4 linked regions of the Saccharomyces cerevisiae S288C genome follow. Changing the gene in region 3 together with the main gene of any one other region gives a genetic interaction. Each region holds a gene or a part of one and is shown on either strand. Other genes may lie near its edges. The genes, in order: PAU3, FAR8, GPI12 and FRE2.

Evidence for each region.
Region 1: mutations in GPI12 (region 3) and PAU3 together harm fitness more than expected from each alone (negative genetic interaction), as found in Saccharomyces cerevisiae (one large-scale study listed by BioGRID).
Region 2: mutations in GPI12 (region 3) and FAR8 together harm fitness more than expected from each alone (negative genetic interaction), as found in Saccharomyces cerevisiae (one large-scale study listed by BioGRID).
Region 4: mutations in GPI12 (region 3) and FRE2 together harm fitness more than expected from each alone (negative genetic interaction), as found in Saccharomyces cerevisiae (one large-scale study listed by BioGRID).

Annotation. Positions count from the first base shown.
Region 1 is NC_001135.5:305,556-308,685, reverse strand, and holds PAU3 (seripauperin PAU3), read right to left. Parts: upstream 886-3,130; coding exon 511-885; downstream 1-510.
Region 2 is NC_001145.3:327,941-332,310, reverse strand, and holds FAR8 (Far8p), read left to right. Parts: upstream 1-2,079; coding exon 2,080-3,651; downstream 3,652-4,370. Other genes in the region: EIS1 (Eis1p), read left to right, coding at 1-99; RSF1 (Rsf1p), read right to left, coding at 388-1,518; TAP42 (Tap42p), read right to left, coding at 3,729-4,370. UniProt on the Saccharomyces cerevisiae protein: Participates in the control of the reentry into the cell cycle following pheromone treatment.
Region 3 is NC_001145.3:830,368-833,794, reverse strand, and holds GPI12 (N-acetylglucosaminylphosphatidylinositol deacetylase), read right to left. Parts: upstream 1,457-3,427; coding exon 542-1,456; downstream 1-541. Other genes in the region: AEP2 (Aep2p), read left to right, coding at 1-439; DNA-binding transcription factor CAT8, read left to right, coding at 2,466-3,427. UniProt on the Saccharomyces cerevisiae protein: Involved in the second step of GPI biosynthesis. De-N-acetylation of N-acetylglucosaminyl-phosphatidylinositol.
Region 4 is NC_001143.9:8,529-13,145, forward strand, and holds FRE2 (ferric/cupric-chelate reductase), read right to left. Parts: upstream 2,699-4,617; coding exon 563-2,698; downstream 1-562. UniProt on the Saccharomyces cerevisiae protein: Metalloreductase responsible for reducing extracellular iron and copper prior to import. Catalyzes the reductive uptake of Fe(3+)-salts and Fe(3+) bound to catecholate or hydroxamate siderophores.

The sequences.
Region 1 (3,130 bases), on a different chromosome or scaffold from region 3:
CTTACTCCATTTTCTGACTAATAAAAACATATACACACATAAGTAGGCACAGAAATGCAAATATTCGTATAACAGGAGACGAAAATTCAATATGGTTACTCTGACTTGTCGCTCGCATAGTCCCTGATCTACAGCATTAATCCAAAAAGAGACATGTGTGTAAACAACTCCGGGCCAACACACTGAAAAATAAAGAAATCAATTTATTTTCGTGGGAGAAATAAAAGCAACAGAGCCAAACGTATCAAACTTCAGCACTACTCATTAAGAATATATGCAATAATACTGGATAGCACTTTCAACTGCTTCCCCAGAAGGATAGCCTAGAAGAAAGTTTCTTTTCCGTTGTTGATGCACCTAAATAATGTCGTCTTGATCAAATATAGGCTTATAGTATTGATATATGTTTATATAGTCAACTGTATTTATATCAAAAAAAAAAAAAGATTTTTTTTTTATTCTTTCGTTATTTTTCAATGTCTATGGAAGTTCATTAGTAAAGGCATGTCTCTATTTTGGAATAGCAGTGTAGATACCGTCCTTAGATAGAGCACTGGAGATGGCTGGTCTCAATCTAGTGGAGTACCATGGGACACCAGTGATGACTCTGGTGACTTGTTCAGCTGGAATACCAGTCAACATAGTGGTGAAGTCACCATAGTTGAAAACAGCTTCAGCAATCTCAACTGGGTAGGTCTCAGTTGGATGAGCTGCTTGAAACAAGTAGTATTGAGCCAAATGAGCTCTGATATCGGAGACGTAAACACCCAATTCGACCAAGTTGACCCTTTCGTCAGATGGAGATAGAGTGGTAGTGGCTGGGGCAGCGGCAATACCGGCAGCGATGGCGGCAACACCAGCAGCGATTGAAGTTAATTTGACCATTGTATTTGTTTTGTTTGTTAGTGCTGATGTAATCTTAACAAGAAATAGTGAAATGAAAGCGCATACCTCAAAGGCATATAGTTGAAGCAGCTCTATTTATACCCGTTCCTCCATCTGTCATCACTACTTAAACGATTCGTTAACAGACGCTCATTTAGCACCTCACATATCCTCCATATCTCATCTTTCACACAATCTCATTATCTCTATGGAGATGCTCTTGTTTCTGAACGAATCATACATCTTTCATAGGTTTCGTATGTGGAGTATTGTTTTATGGCACTCATGTGTATTCGTATGCGCAGAATGTGGGAATGCCAATTATAGGGGTGCCGGGGTGCCTTGAAAAACCCTTTTACGCGCGCCTGTGAAGTTTCCGCTTTCGGTCAAAAAGAATATCCGAATTTTAGATTTGGACCCTCGTTCAGAAGCTTATTGTCTAAGCCTAAATTCAGTCTGCTTTAAACGGCTTCCGCGGAAGAAATATTTCCATCTCTTGAATTCGTACAACATTAAACGTGTGTTGGGAGTCGTATACTGTTAGGGTCTGCAAATATGTAAACTCTCGGCGAATGCCTTGGTGCAATTACGTAATTGTAGCCGCTGAAGGCGGATGGTATTGAGAGAAGTTGATGTTCAAAGTATCGTGTATGATAAAAATAGAATTGTAACCAGTTCGTAGTAGCAGTATTAAAACTTTGATTCCGAGATGTAATCCCTCTTTTCTAGCCAGATATGAAGGAAAAAAGTGTAAGGGTAGTTGAGAGCGCTACTTTATTTTATTCTATTTTAAAAATGTTCTCTAGGAGAGGTGTATTAATAGTTGGTACTCCATGTAGCTTCTAAGTCAAAAGAAATGTCTCTATCTTTATGGTAACGGTTCATCGTTAGAGCTCAATTGTGCTTCTTGGATGTATTTCCAAAGTCCCACGTTTAATAACCCACACAACATAAATGTCCTTGAATATAAAAAATTTCGAAAGCTCCCCGTAAAGAATGCTTGATAATCAGCTCCATCAAAGAAATACTTTTTGTTCTTCCAAACTTTTCCTCTCAGCAAATACATATTTATTTCCTTTGCAACCACTTTCTAGAGAATTCATAATAGTTGATAAAAAAGGCATTTTGTCTTCTATGTTCATAATTTCAATTCTTGAATTTTGGAAATCGTGAAATGTTTCGAGAAACCGCCTTCAATAATTAGAAAACAAAATAAAAGATTACAGTTAGGCCACTCAAAAATACAATTCAGATAAGAAAGGTGCGATAGTGGGGAATAAGAATTGGAAATCCGCTTGATAATCAGGGAAAACTTAAAGAACGGGGTGTTAAAAGTCTGTGAAGTATAGATCAAACTCGCACTAGCTAGCAATACTCATGAGAACCTAGGTGAGTGTAAAGCAGTGAACCTTCTTTAGAAAGCAGAGAAAAATCCTCCAAGTTAACAGTCTTCCATACTTACTCAGTATGGATCAAGTTCCACAGTTTGTCCACTTCTGTAGAATAAACTTGTAGTGCTTTTCCGATGAAAAGGGATAGAGTCTTTAAAAGACTTGATCTTGGCATTTTTATCCTCCTTCAAGCAGAATGGCTCCAGTAGAGTTGTTCTGAACGCTTCTGGGCAGTGAGCAGCATTGAAGAAAAAGTACTCAGCATTCCAAGCTTTGTCTTCATATAATTATAAATTAAAACTCATAGCCACCAATTTCCAGGTTTTGGTCGCAATATGCTGCAGAATCAATGGCTTGTTTCGTTACTATACTGGTCCGACGGAGTTTACTTTACTCTAAATTTGCTGAAATAGCAAGGCCACACGCCATACAATTAACAATAGTTCATTCAGTTGAAAGGTTTCCGAGATAGAAAGTGCGGTAGTAGAGAAGAACAATAAACGTATCAAACTTTGCGCAGTCATGGAATTTCCAGGAAACATTTTTAGGTTTTCATATGACAGCAGTTCCTGTCCGAGAGCTGTGCCTTTCTTGTCTCAGCTGACTAAGATGTCTCGGATCCGCCCGGCTGGCGCGCGGCTCCGTCTAGTGGGATAGGCTTTCAACACATAGGAAACCCTTCAGATGATGAGAACACATCGAATCCCAGAGAGTAATATCACCAAGAATAAAGCAACCATGATAGACAATATTACTAAGTGTTCCTCAACAGATATTGAGAAAAGTTCTTATAAAGCGGGCAGGCTTTTTTCTATTTTTTTCTTTTTCTTTATCTAGCTTAAGATCCTTCTAAC
Region 2 (4,370 bases), 500 kb from region 3:
GTTAGCCCTGATAGTTTGGAACATACATTTAGTGGCTTTTCACAGGGTTCTTCGATCGAAGACGATCAGGATGCAATTAGTAATCAAGAGAAAAAATAATTGCTAGTGAGCCTAGATAACGAAGAAATGGTGCGGCTAAGATATTGAACAGTTGAGTGGGATACTACAGAATTTTGATAATTAAGATAGTTCTCATCTGCGCTTTAATTATTCTTTTTATGTGTATAATATATGTTTATTGCCTTAATTTAAATTTAATATTTGTATTTTCTTTTTTTTGTTTAATTTGATTACTTTTGCTTATGAAATAGTATATATGGTTGTTTTACTTTTTTTTTTATTTATTTGATCTAAGTTTTATGTATGCAGATTAAAAGCAAGTTTTAATTAATTGGTATGTTGGTTTTGATTATGATTATGAGGAGTACCGCTATTGCTATTGTTTAAATTACTACTGTTGTGTTCCAGTTCATTCACGCCTGGATCAGTTTTGAAGTATACTTCATCCGGCAAAGTATCTGTTGAAATTATTGAATATTTGATGAGCCAATTTCTCATTGGTTGGTAGTCTAAAACAGAAAACGGAATGTTTAAATCGATAAGAATCTCTATCAAGTCGTTCATGGCTATTTTCGATTGAAGTTCTCGAACATTTTGCTGTTGGACCTGGTGGTTGATGAGGCTCGATCCGGTTTCAGGATGATTTCCGTTGACGTCCCCTTTTTTCTTCTTTTTCTTCTCTTTGAATTTGGCATCTGGTTCAACAAGTAAATCACGCATCAATCTAGATTGATAGTCATAGCATTCCTGGAAAAGTGGAGAATTATGATCAAAAAATTCGGTAAAATTATTTGGTGTTAGCTGGACATCGTGAACTTTACTCAAATGTCTTTGATACTTTCTAGAACCATGCTTCTCTCTACTGTTCTTATCTTTCCATATCATTTCTTGATTGCAAATTCGCTTGGTTCTACGGTCATAAAATTGGCAATATGTGTTGATAGTTAGAGGTGATTTAGCAAATAATAGTTTAGATAGATGGTTTCCCTTAATATCTCTTCTCTTGGGAATGGGAAGCTCCAAAGTTTTCATAATGTCTGATCTAAAATTTAGTGTTTCTGAAGACAGTAGCTGCATATTATTCTCTATGAAATCTACCACTTGTTGCTGTTGCCGTTGAACTGCATATTTAGAATCCTTTGTGCTATTCGATTCAATAGTTCCCAGAGGAAGCGACTCATCATGAGTAACGTTGACAGGAGATGACTTGGCAGATACGGTAGCAGAAGAAAAATCTGGCGAGAAGTTCTCTTTTTGCAAATAATCCGGTACCATATTCATATTAAGTATCCTTGGAGTTTCCATCTTGTTGGGCGCCAGATACATCTCCTCACGAGGAGTCCCACTACGGTTGGCAGGAAAATTAGGCAGTGTCGCTATATCAACCATGCCTCTATTGTCTTGAGGAGGGCCTTTAGTGGTAGCAAATTTCCCCATTTCTGGATTTAGGTCCTTCATAACTGCTTGTAGTTCTATCTCCTTGTTTTCGAATAGCTTCTCAGAAAGTAAAAAAAAGGATAATATTACAGTTTTTGATCTACAGAGTCCCTTTTTGTACCCCTCCACTCAAATCGTTCTGATACGTACGTCTCTAGGTGTCAGATGATGGAGTAACTTGCAGATGTTTTACATGCGTTTCTTTTGGTTTACGCGATAATAGTTCCTTATTAAATGTCAAGAAAGTGCTAGTTGCTTCAGTTGTTTTAAGATTGATCTCCACTCTCTGCGTCTTCACATGCGCGGGACAACTTTACAGGAAAACAAGGTTTAAGAGATAACCTATTCGGGTTTTACGTAGGATGATCTATTATAGTCTATTCAGTTTTTACTGCTGCACCATCCCCTAGGCTTCTTTGTTGGGATATGGTATAGTACTCTATTGGTCTTAACTTTGCGATCTTCCCCGTCGCGTAATCTTAGATAAAAGCCACCTAGAACGACTAAATGTGAGGAGCAAGCAACAACATTAATAAAGAAACCCAAAAGAAGTAAGTGCGTGTAGTTAGACCGGAAAACAATATGGCTATTAACCAGGCACATGTTCATCCGCATTACACGTTACCTGGTGTAATGCACTACTTGCAAACGGAGTTCACGAAGAATGAAAGAGATAGAATCACCTGGGAGCTAGAAAGGTCGGAAATGAAAGCAAGAATTGCAGAACTAGAGGGCGAAAATAGAGATTTGAAGCATCAATTGAATCAAATACAATCGAAAGCTGTTTCTCCTGAAGGTGAAAAGGAAGAAAAACATGTGCCTGATTCATTACTGCAGTCTAAGCTAGCTGTTCAAGAAAATGTGAAGGAAATAATTTATTTGTTGAAAGGCCCTAACACGGTCAATCAGTTAGAGTCATTAAATAGCAGAGAAGCGGGTTCTGAATTGCACGATTTAGAGAAACTGAACGTGAATACTCCCAAGGAAGAGGGCAGTGCGAAGACAAATGGGATGGATATTTTAAATAATGCCCTCTTGGACACCAAACCCAATCCAAAGCAAGGTCCTTCAGAGTCACCATCACCAACCAAAGTGAAATCTTTGTTTAGCACAGCCAACAAGCGTGAAAATAATGAAACAATATCCAAGATACACTCGGAATTGTCGAAAGTCGACATTATCAGCTCCTACGGGGACTGTATGGCACTTTATGATGCAGACACCAAATCGTTAGAAATACACCAAGTGGACGCAAACTTGAATTCCAAACTCTTAAAGAAAATATCTTTAGGGCAAGATAGCGACATTATGAAATTTTTCTGGGTTTCGACGTCCAAACTCCTTGTTATTGAAAAGAGTTTCCATTTGAAATTGTTCTCTATTTCTAGCGCATCTTTGATCTCAGATGTGGACCTATTACAAGACTCAGAACAGCCGTTTTCGTCTAGTGATATCATTAATATAGACTTCAAAAATAAATGGTTGTTGATAGCTAGTAAGAATAAATCTCAAATTAGAATCTGGGAATTGGACAATATAGAGGCTCCTGAGGATGTCCCAATTAACATAAAAGAAACATATGAAATAACACATGATAATGATGACGATGATAGTAATGATTCCACAAACATTCTGGATTGTATATTGGGTATAACAGAAAAATCCTTAATATTACTGTCTTCAAATCCATACCAGCTTACCATATATGATTTCGAGGGTAAGCTTCTACAAAAAATTGATTTGAAGATTGATACAATATTATCGGGTAAGCCAGAAGAAGAAGGTTACCATTTATTTTTGGATAGAAAAACTTCTAAGCTACTGATTCAGCTAAGCAATGAGAGATTATTGGTTTATTCTTTTGATAAGAAAAAAGTTGTACTGAAGGAACAATTGACTCCATCGTCAACACTACCAATACAACTCGATTTGAACGACAGCATAATCACCGTATCATATAGTAATGGAGACTTTGAGTTTAGGAATTTAGAAAACCTAAAACCATCCATCGACGAATTTGTCGTAGCAGACATCAACTTCTCGGAAAGAAAAGAGCCTGTGGTATTTTCTTCAAATCTGATTGTAGATTCTACGCCGGTGTTAATCACCGTGAATAAAAATAACGAAGTCCTTTTGCACAAGATTAAAATATAACTGATGTAGGCAGAAAAAAAAATAATATATGAATCTGTCTAATAGATACTTATGTGTACGTATATAGGTATTTTTTTCTATCCTCTATTCATGGTATTTCCGCTTCCCTTAGCATGACTTTCCTTGAACTCGTCCCACTCACGAGCTTTATAGGTTTCTCTATCTTGCCAGTCCATGTTTTCTTCATCTGGTGCTTGCTCTGGTTCTTCGCCACCTTGAAGAACGCGACCTTCTTCAAACTCTTTATCTAAAAATTCCTCCACCGACATTGTTGGTCCATATTGACCATATCCTCGCACTTTTTGTTGCAGTTGTTGCCTTTTGTCGACAAGCGTGAAGTTCCTCAAGACTTGACCTTTTTTGTCTATCAATGGCTTATTTATATTCTCTAATTTATCGGTAAAACCAGTGGAATCATCATCATTCGATTCTTTTCGTATCTGAGTACCTGATGATTTGACTTCATGTACGGAATTTTTGAGGAAATTAGAGAGCATTTCACATTCAAATAAATTCTGTTCAATGTTGTTAATCGTATCAAGACTAAAGTGATGTAACCTCATCAAATATAGTTCTCTTAGTAATTCATCATGGTCGTGGTCCTCGTCGTTGTTTTTTAATTCCAACTCCAAGCAGTGCAGTTTTGTGCTAATTTCTTTATTGCGCTGGAATAGCTCAATCTTTTCTTTTCTCTTCAACTGTGCTCCAGATAAATCTTT
Region 3 (3,427 bases):
AATGAAGCAGTGGTATGCATCTAAGCGGCTAAGGCCTTCAGTTGATTATGAGACGTTGAGACAACTGTACGATATCATGAAGAAAACAGGCAATTTCCCGCTTGGAATTGATGTTTTAAGGAGTTTCAAACCGGGGATCGAAAGAACGAGAGCAGAAAATGCTGGAAAAGTTAACAATATCATTATCAAATACCAAAAATGTATTATTAAGGAGCTTGTAAATAGAGGTAGATTTTCAGCGGTAAGGGAATTCATTGATAGTTATGGTTTTGATAGAAAAATGACCAAAGATTTGAATATTTTTTGTGCGAATCGTATGTTTCTAAGAAGTAAGAAAATGAAAAACAAGATTGAGAACAAAAAGGAAAGGGAGAAAGTGCGGCTAGATAGTTTCGATGACGATGAAGATGATGGTATGATTATAGGTAGCCTTTGGTAAGAAAAGTGTAAGTAGAATTAGCATTTATTTTTCTCCATATTCTTATTCTATAGGATGTAAATAATATGGGACTTTTTTATATATATATCTACAGTGTAGAGTCTAATATGTATAAACATCAAATTCATTAACGAAGACAAATCTGGAAAATATCCACCATCCGTATCTAAACCACACAACTTGGGATTCGTGAGCATTTAGCATAGTGGCAAACGCTAGTACGTATTGTGCATGTGTATTCATAAGTGAAAGCTTGTCTTTTTCGGCGGCTGTGTTAGGCGGAAGCGCCTGAATTATTCTACGGAATGGAGAAATCAGGTCGTAAAGTATTTTTAGGATTTCCCAAATAAAGGAGTTGTACTTTAAAACGATGTTGTTCTTGTAGCTTCTCAAATAAAGCGCAGTGACATGAGGTGGTTGTTCATTTCTTTTGGTCTTAGGTTGAGCATAATCATCCACCAACTTTTTAACGGCAGCATAACAGCTTTTGTGGTTGATATGATTTGATACACCATATGAATCAAAGGTAACGATAATCTGGTTCAAGTTATGATTCTTTATATCTATCTTTTGTGAAAGAGAAGAAGTTATAGAATCAATATCCCATATTTCGTCCATACCATCCTGGAAATCCATCACCTGTACGGAGACTGCTCTTTCATTGTGTAGCAATAAAGCGGCCGACTCATTTAATTCTCTTACCCTGGTTTCGCCAAGACCTTCGGCGTTGCCCTTTGATAAGCAGATTATGTTAAATGGGACGGTTCTCGGAAAGTACGAATTCAGTTGAGAAATTATGGGGGAAAAAAACATAACTTCGTCGTCAGGGTGCGCTATGACCAAATTGATTTCATAATCGCCATATTTATGAGGAAAAATATGCTGCAATGATGCATTGTTTCGGGAGACGATTTTGGGCGTAAAATAAATATATAGGATCGTCAGTACTATTGCTAGTTTAGTAATCTTGTAAAGCAATTTTGAAAAATTTACCTTTGTACGCCTCAACATCTTCATTTAACTTTTCTTCAGGGTTTGAAAGAATCTAATATACGGCTCTAGCGTCACCTATCTACACTTAACAATTCGATAAATAAGGAGGGCAATGCAAGATTATAAATAAAAGCGCAGCGTCGATTTTCCTTTTTCTATGACGTTAACGTAACTAGTAAACCTTCTAGAAGGGACGACTCCAATGAGATAGAAACGGCGAAGCGGGAATTTAGGAGTACTTGTTACCCGGCTACTAGTTTATTTCATACAAACACATTGACACATTCGCACATATACATCTACGAGAAATTACTGAATGTGAAAAGGATCAGAGGCAGTTAAAAGAGGTAACAACTTTTATCATCAGATTGTGATACGACTTATACTATTGAATGTGTATGATTACACAACTTTCCTTCTGCAGAACATTTTTACATCTGTTAAGATGGTGCAACATTTCTTTTTATTAGCACATTACTTTTGATGAAAGAGTATATTCAGTTATCGTAGCTCCTCTCACTTCTTTCTATCCGGTGTTTATTCGCGATATGAGTTGTGATATCAGAGACAGAGAGAGTTTATGTGCGTAACAGGAACGGAGAAAACCAGAGTAATTGAGTATTATAAGCAATAAATCATAAAAAGACATTCTTTCTCGTGCAATTTTTTGGTATTCGGGATAATCTTCTACTTGAAACTTCTTTTTTTCGGTGTTTAATTTGCCTATTGGTAAATATTTTTGCCGCCGAGGTTCTCAGTGATTATATTCGTATTAAGCGATAACCGAGACATGCATGGAGCGGCGGGGCTGATATTTTGTGGGGTACGAAAGCATGATTGGTCAGTGACACTCAAAAAAAGAAAACAGCCGTAAAATAGTAGATTTTGTTAAACTCCCCTTTAAACCTGTGATATTGTAAAAAGACGAAGAATTTAATAATTTAATAATTCATTACGGTATTTATTTCTTCATAAACAGTTACAACACCCTAAAGAGAATTTACAAGTTGAGTAAAAGACAAGACACAAAATTATGGCAAATAATAATTCTGATCGACAAGGTTTGGAACCCAGAGTCATTAGAACTCTGGGTTCACAAGCGCTTAGCGGTCCTAGCATATCTAATAGAACTTCAAGTTCGGAGGCAAACCCTCATTTTTCCAAGAACGTGAAGGAAGCAATGATCAAGACAGCTTCTCCGACTCCTTTATCTACACCTATTTACAGGATAGCTCAAGCTTGTGACAGGTGTCGATCTAAGAAAACAAGGTGCGATGGAAAAAGACCACAGTGTTCGCAGTGTGCTGCTGTCGGATTTGAATGCAGAATAAGCGATAAATTACTGAGGAAAGCGTATCCAAAAGGGTACACAGAAAGCCTGGAAGAAAGAGTACGCGAACTGGAGGCAGAGAATAAGCGTTTGCTAGCTTTGTGTGATATCAAAGAACAGCAAATAAGCCTTGTTTCACAGTCGCGACCACAGACATCAACGGATAATACCATAAATGGCAATTTCAAACATGATTTGAAAGATGCTCCATTGAATCTGTCTTCTACAAATATCTATTTATTAAATCAAACGGTTAATAAGCAGCTACAAAATGGCAAAATGGATGGTGATAATAGCGGTTCTGCAATGAGTCCATTGGGGGCACCACCTCCACCGCCACACAAAGACCATCTTTGTGACGGCGTTTCCTGTACAAATCATTTACACGTCAAGCCTACTTCTACGAGTTTAAACGATCCAACCGCTATATCTTTTGAACAGGACGAGGCACCTGGTCTTCCTGCGGTAAAGGCATTAAAATCAATGACGACTCATCAACGTAGCACTCAATTGGCAACTTTAGTTTCTTTATCCATCCCAAGATCTACTGAAGAAATTCTGTTTATTCCTCAGCTTTTAACTAGGATAAGACAAATATTTGGTTTCAACTCAAAGCAATGTTTGTATACGGTTTCATTATTATCTTCATTGAAAAATAGATTGCC
Region 4 (4,617 bases), on a different chromosome or scaffold from region 3:
GATTATATCGAAGACTCGGTGTGTGATATTACTCCACAGTACAAAAACAGGAATACAGAGAAAATTGAAAAGATATATGAACGGATGGTATGGTAAATAAAATAACAGCCATTATAAAGCTTGTGGTAAATTTTCCAGGACGGAAGTTAGCTTATGCAGTTTTGTTTATCTTCCTTGCATCTGTGTATAATACTGAAACACGCAATTAACGTTTCATAAAATTTGCCTGAGGGCCGTATAAAAATTCAGTGACCATTGTTCACACTTTAAATATAGCCAAATTGCCAAGAAAGGGTTTCATTGCAGGTTTATCGAAATATTAACTCTTTAAATACAGGGACTATACAGAGCTAACTTCTTAAGAAAAAAAACCATGCGACACACTACGACTTTCACAAATTCCATAAAAGAGATATTTAAGATTTAGATAAAATATCAAAGGACTGCTGTACTCTGCTTCAATTACCTCCTTACCATAAAGTTATAGGCAGCTTTCTCCATCGACATACTAAAATTTGGATAGGTATTATTAATGAAATGACTAGTTTTAAGTAAAAAATGATCACCAGCATTGATACTCTTCAAAGTACTCAATGGCTTTTGCAGACTTATCTAAAACTATTTTTGCGGTTTCATTCCTCACTTTGTCAACAAAAATAGGAGGTCCACAGCAAACCACAGATAATGAGCCACTCAATTCAGCCGCTTCATGTAGAAGTTCCTTAACATTTGGTCGCCCGCAATGGAAAACAACACCATCAAAACCAAGTGGATTGGCAGACTTTTCTAAAGTAGTTGCCACAACAGTGCCTTTTTCATCAGCCTTCTCATCCTGTTGAGAAATATCTAAACTATCACTAGGGGTTAATGATGGGACTTCCATTGTGTTGTAGATGTGAAGCTGTACATTCAGATTTTCTAAACACATCAACTCCGGCTTATAAGCCTCGAGTACGTCGAATCCTCTAACTGCAATCACTAATTTTACAGATTGTTTTCCAGCAGCCGCTGACGTCTTTCCAAGTTTAATTGCATGTGCAATAGGTCCAGGCAAACCGGTACCTCCAGTGAGTAACAATACATTATTGTAATTATTGACCGGAGATGAAGAACCATATGGACCTTCTATAGCTAGTCTCATAGATGTCTTACCTCCATTGCGACACACATACTTTTTGACAAGTCTTGTTACTCCCTTTTTTTCTTTCAGGATAATAACCAGTTCACCATTCTTGCTTACTGAATCCAAAACAGTAAATGGATGTGACTGCCAGAAGTACAGTGGATGTAAAAACGAAACGAAAACATATTGCCCAGGTTTGGCCCTCCATGGCCTTGCCGGTTTTTTAACTGTTAAACGAATGAGATCATCCCCGATTAGTTGTAGGGAAGCTTTGGGGAAACCAAAATAAGAAGCTTTGATAATTCTAATAATCCGGTCAACGATCCAAATCGCAATAGCAGTGTATATCCACTCAATGCCACTTAAACTAACAACATGCTCCCAACATGCATAAAAGAACATTGCACCAAGGACGATATGAAGAAAAAGAAAGGCTTCATAAAAATACTTCCTGAATACTGCAAAGGAAAAGAAAACCATTGTGCCAGCTAAACAAAGTGCTGCCACCCCGAATTGCCAATATAATCGGTTTTTACTTGTTGCCCAAGTTTTATTCGCTACCGTATAACTAGTATATGCAGAGCCATGAATCATAGCATCCAAAAACATCATTCTTCCCAACCATTTGTGAAACATAATGAAGGAAGTATATTTAACCCCAGAAATATACTCGAGAAAGTTGTTTCTTCCCGCGAAAAGAACTATTAATGGAAAGTGTGCGAATGCGAGTACACCACTTCTGTCTGCCACATATCGAGCAACTTGAACTCTACGAGACTTGAATATTATATTTTCAGGATCGTATTCATAACCGTATGCCAAAAAAACGGTATGAAGCACGAGATATCCAAGAATAATGATACCCTCTAATCTTGTAGGTAAATATCCTGTGAATATTCTAAAATAAGAGAAATCTGACGCATGTTTGCTTCCAATGGTAGGTAGAGTGAGGTATCCCCTTACATATCCCACAAGCTTTTGCTTCAATAGAACAGTTTTAAAGGGAGTGTAATTCATGCAATGAAGAACGCCTGCAAAAGCCATGATAGCGACAAAATAAGCACATATAATGCCACCATATATGTTTCCGACATCTAAGTTAGCATAGAAACCATGCAATGCATGATAGTAGGCTTTTCTTAACTGTGTATCCATTTCAACTGGATATGTTAGGTTTGCACTGCCTTTGACATAGGGCGTCATATGCCTCGTTCCGTTGTTTAGAACGTCATAAAACTCAGAATTAGTCATGTTCTGAAGAGCATCACTATAACTTGCACAGTTTTTTTTGATGGTACTAAATGTTTTTTCTAAGGTTTTATTCGAATAACCTTTTTCATCCAACGTTTCATAGATACAATACAGCATTGATTGAAACGCTGGTTCGTAAGAACATACTGGTGATGAACGCTTAGACTTGCTGGTATACTCCCAAGTAACTTTTTGAAAAATCCTCGTGCAGGCATTAGTGACAAGCAAGGGCACCTTGTTACGAATAACTGTCTTTGCAGGTGATGCTCTTGCTCCTGACAGGCAGAAAAGCAAAATAGCGCTCAAGATGGACGTCCAATGCATTATATTCGTTGGGTTTCATAAGCTTTGGATAAAAAAGACTTTATTACAACTGTAGCAAAAAATCATGTTCATTTTTTGCGACTTATATATTTAGTGGCAAATTAATGATACCTTGCAATAACCGAATTTAGAGTATGTTGTCCAAGAAAGGAGGGATTTTGTTCATCAGAAAAGAATTCAGAAAAGCAAGGAAACAGTACTATCGTTTAGAATGTAGAATGATAGGTTGCTTGCTAATTCTATTATGGCACGAATGATACACCCATATTTTCAACAAAATCAATACCCACTAGCATCATTGAGCCAACTATTTGTCAATGCAACCATTACCGGTACTTCATCCTGATTTAACGAGTCTACTTTTTTATCACGTCAAAATTTACTTGTTTTCCTGTAAACCCGAAATAAAGGCAAAAAAGACCTGGGTGCAATTACGAATAAATGTACAATAATCATCCTGTTTGCATAGTAAACTTCCAGTTAGAGTCACACAACGCAATGAATTTTGACAGTTTTCTGTGCGATATTCTTTGGTAAACGTAAAGAACAGGCAACTTTTGGTACAATGGATTCTAGCCCATATGGTTCATTTCTGGTGCATTCGCAAAGTCAGTATTTGTCTAGCTGTGTTTTCTGGCTGAGAGACATTATGATGTTATTCATTGTTATGGATATCTCTGTAGCTCATGCTGCTTATTTCTCCCTAAAAAAGTTTTTTCTCTCGAATACATTCTTGACCATTTCATAGTGAAATTCTTGTACTTATTTAAAACCAAAAATGGAAGTATTCATACATCCCCCTATCAAAAACACTCAATAAGTTTCGAATTATTCGTTCGTCTAAACAGTGTCCAATACTCAAAGGGGTATTCAAGACGGCACAAAATCAGCATCTTCCCTTATCCGTGTTCCAGAAATACCACGCTAAGGTTTTTCCTCCTACAATCCATAAAATCATTAAGGAGGCAGCTTGAAAAATCTTGAAATTCAAAAGAGTTATCTTGGGCTAATCGAAATTAACGATAACCAGAGTAGAATATTCAAGATCACAGCTCCACCTTAGTTTCGAGGTTGCTCTCAATGGTCTAGCTTAGTCATGCTTTTTGTTAAACAAATCTTGCCTTTTCTGATATTCTATAGTGTGGTCCAATCCAGATATTGGCGCATCCTAAACCAATTATAGTTCACTTATGAAGGGCAAATGAACACTCTTACCAGTTTCACAAATAATTAGTACTAGCTAGGCGGTCAAACTGACTAGCTTATTATAATATTATCGATGTAACATTTTTCCATAGTGAGGGAGGAAAATAAACCTTAAAAAAATATGCAAGGATTCTAGATTTCAGGCTAGTCTTCAACCACTTTGCACTTCCGGATTAAAGGCTTTTATAGAAAACATCTTGGTTTGGGACTATATTGCTAGGTGAAAATTTCAAAATTGTACAAAAGATCATTCTTGTTTTTTTGCCTCATTAGCTGATACAATGCGGAACTACATGGCGCTCTTTTATAAGCATCTACTATGGTACATTCTAAGTATGTGGATCTTGGTTAACACATAGACATTTTTTAACTTCTTGATATCGGTTCCGCTAAATTTGCTGATTATATTTGTTCACTAGGCCAGATCATAATGCCTGTAATATTGAGTACTTAATATCGATACTTGATATCCGAACAGTAAACGTTTGTCCGTAGTCATCGTGACTGTTGACGTATTAACTGCAAGAAATGATGGAAAAAATTTAGGTATATTTGCAGATGAAAACTCTAGAACACTGCCGTTGAAGAAAGAATGGCTTCAGCCGTCATGCTGTCTATCTGTTTGTAAACTTTTGGAAGTTTTACATATTTTGCACTATTTTCTTTAGCACGAGGTATATGTTTCTTTTTCAATAAAAATCGTCCTTTTGAAG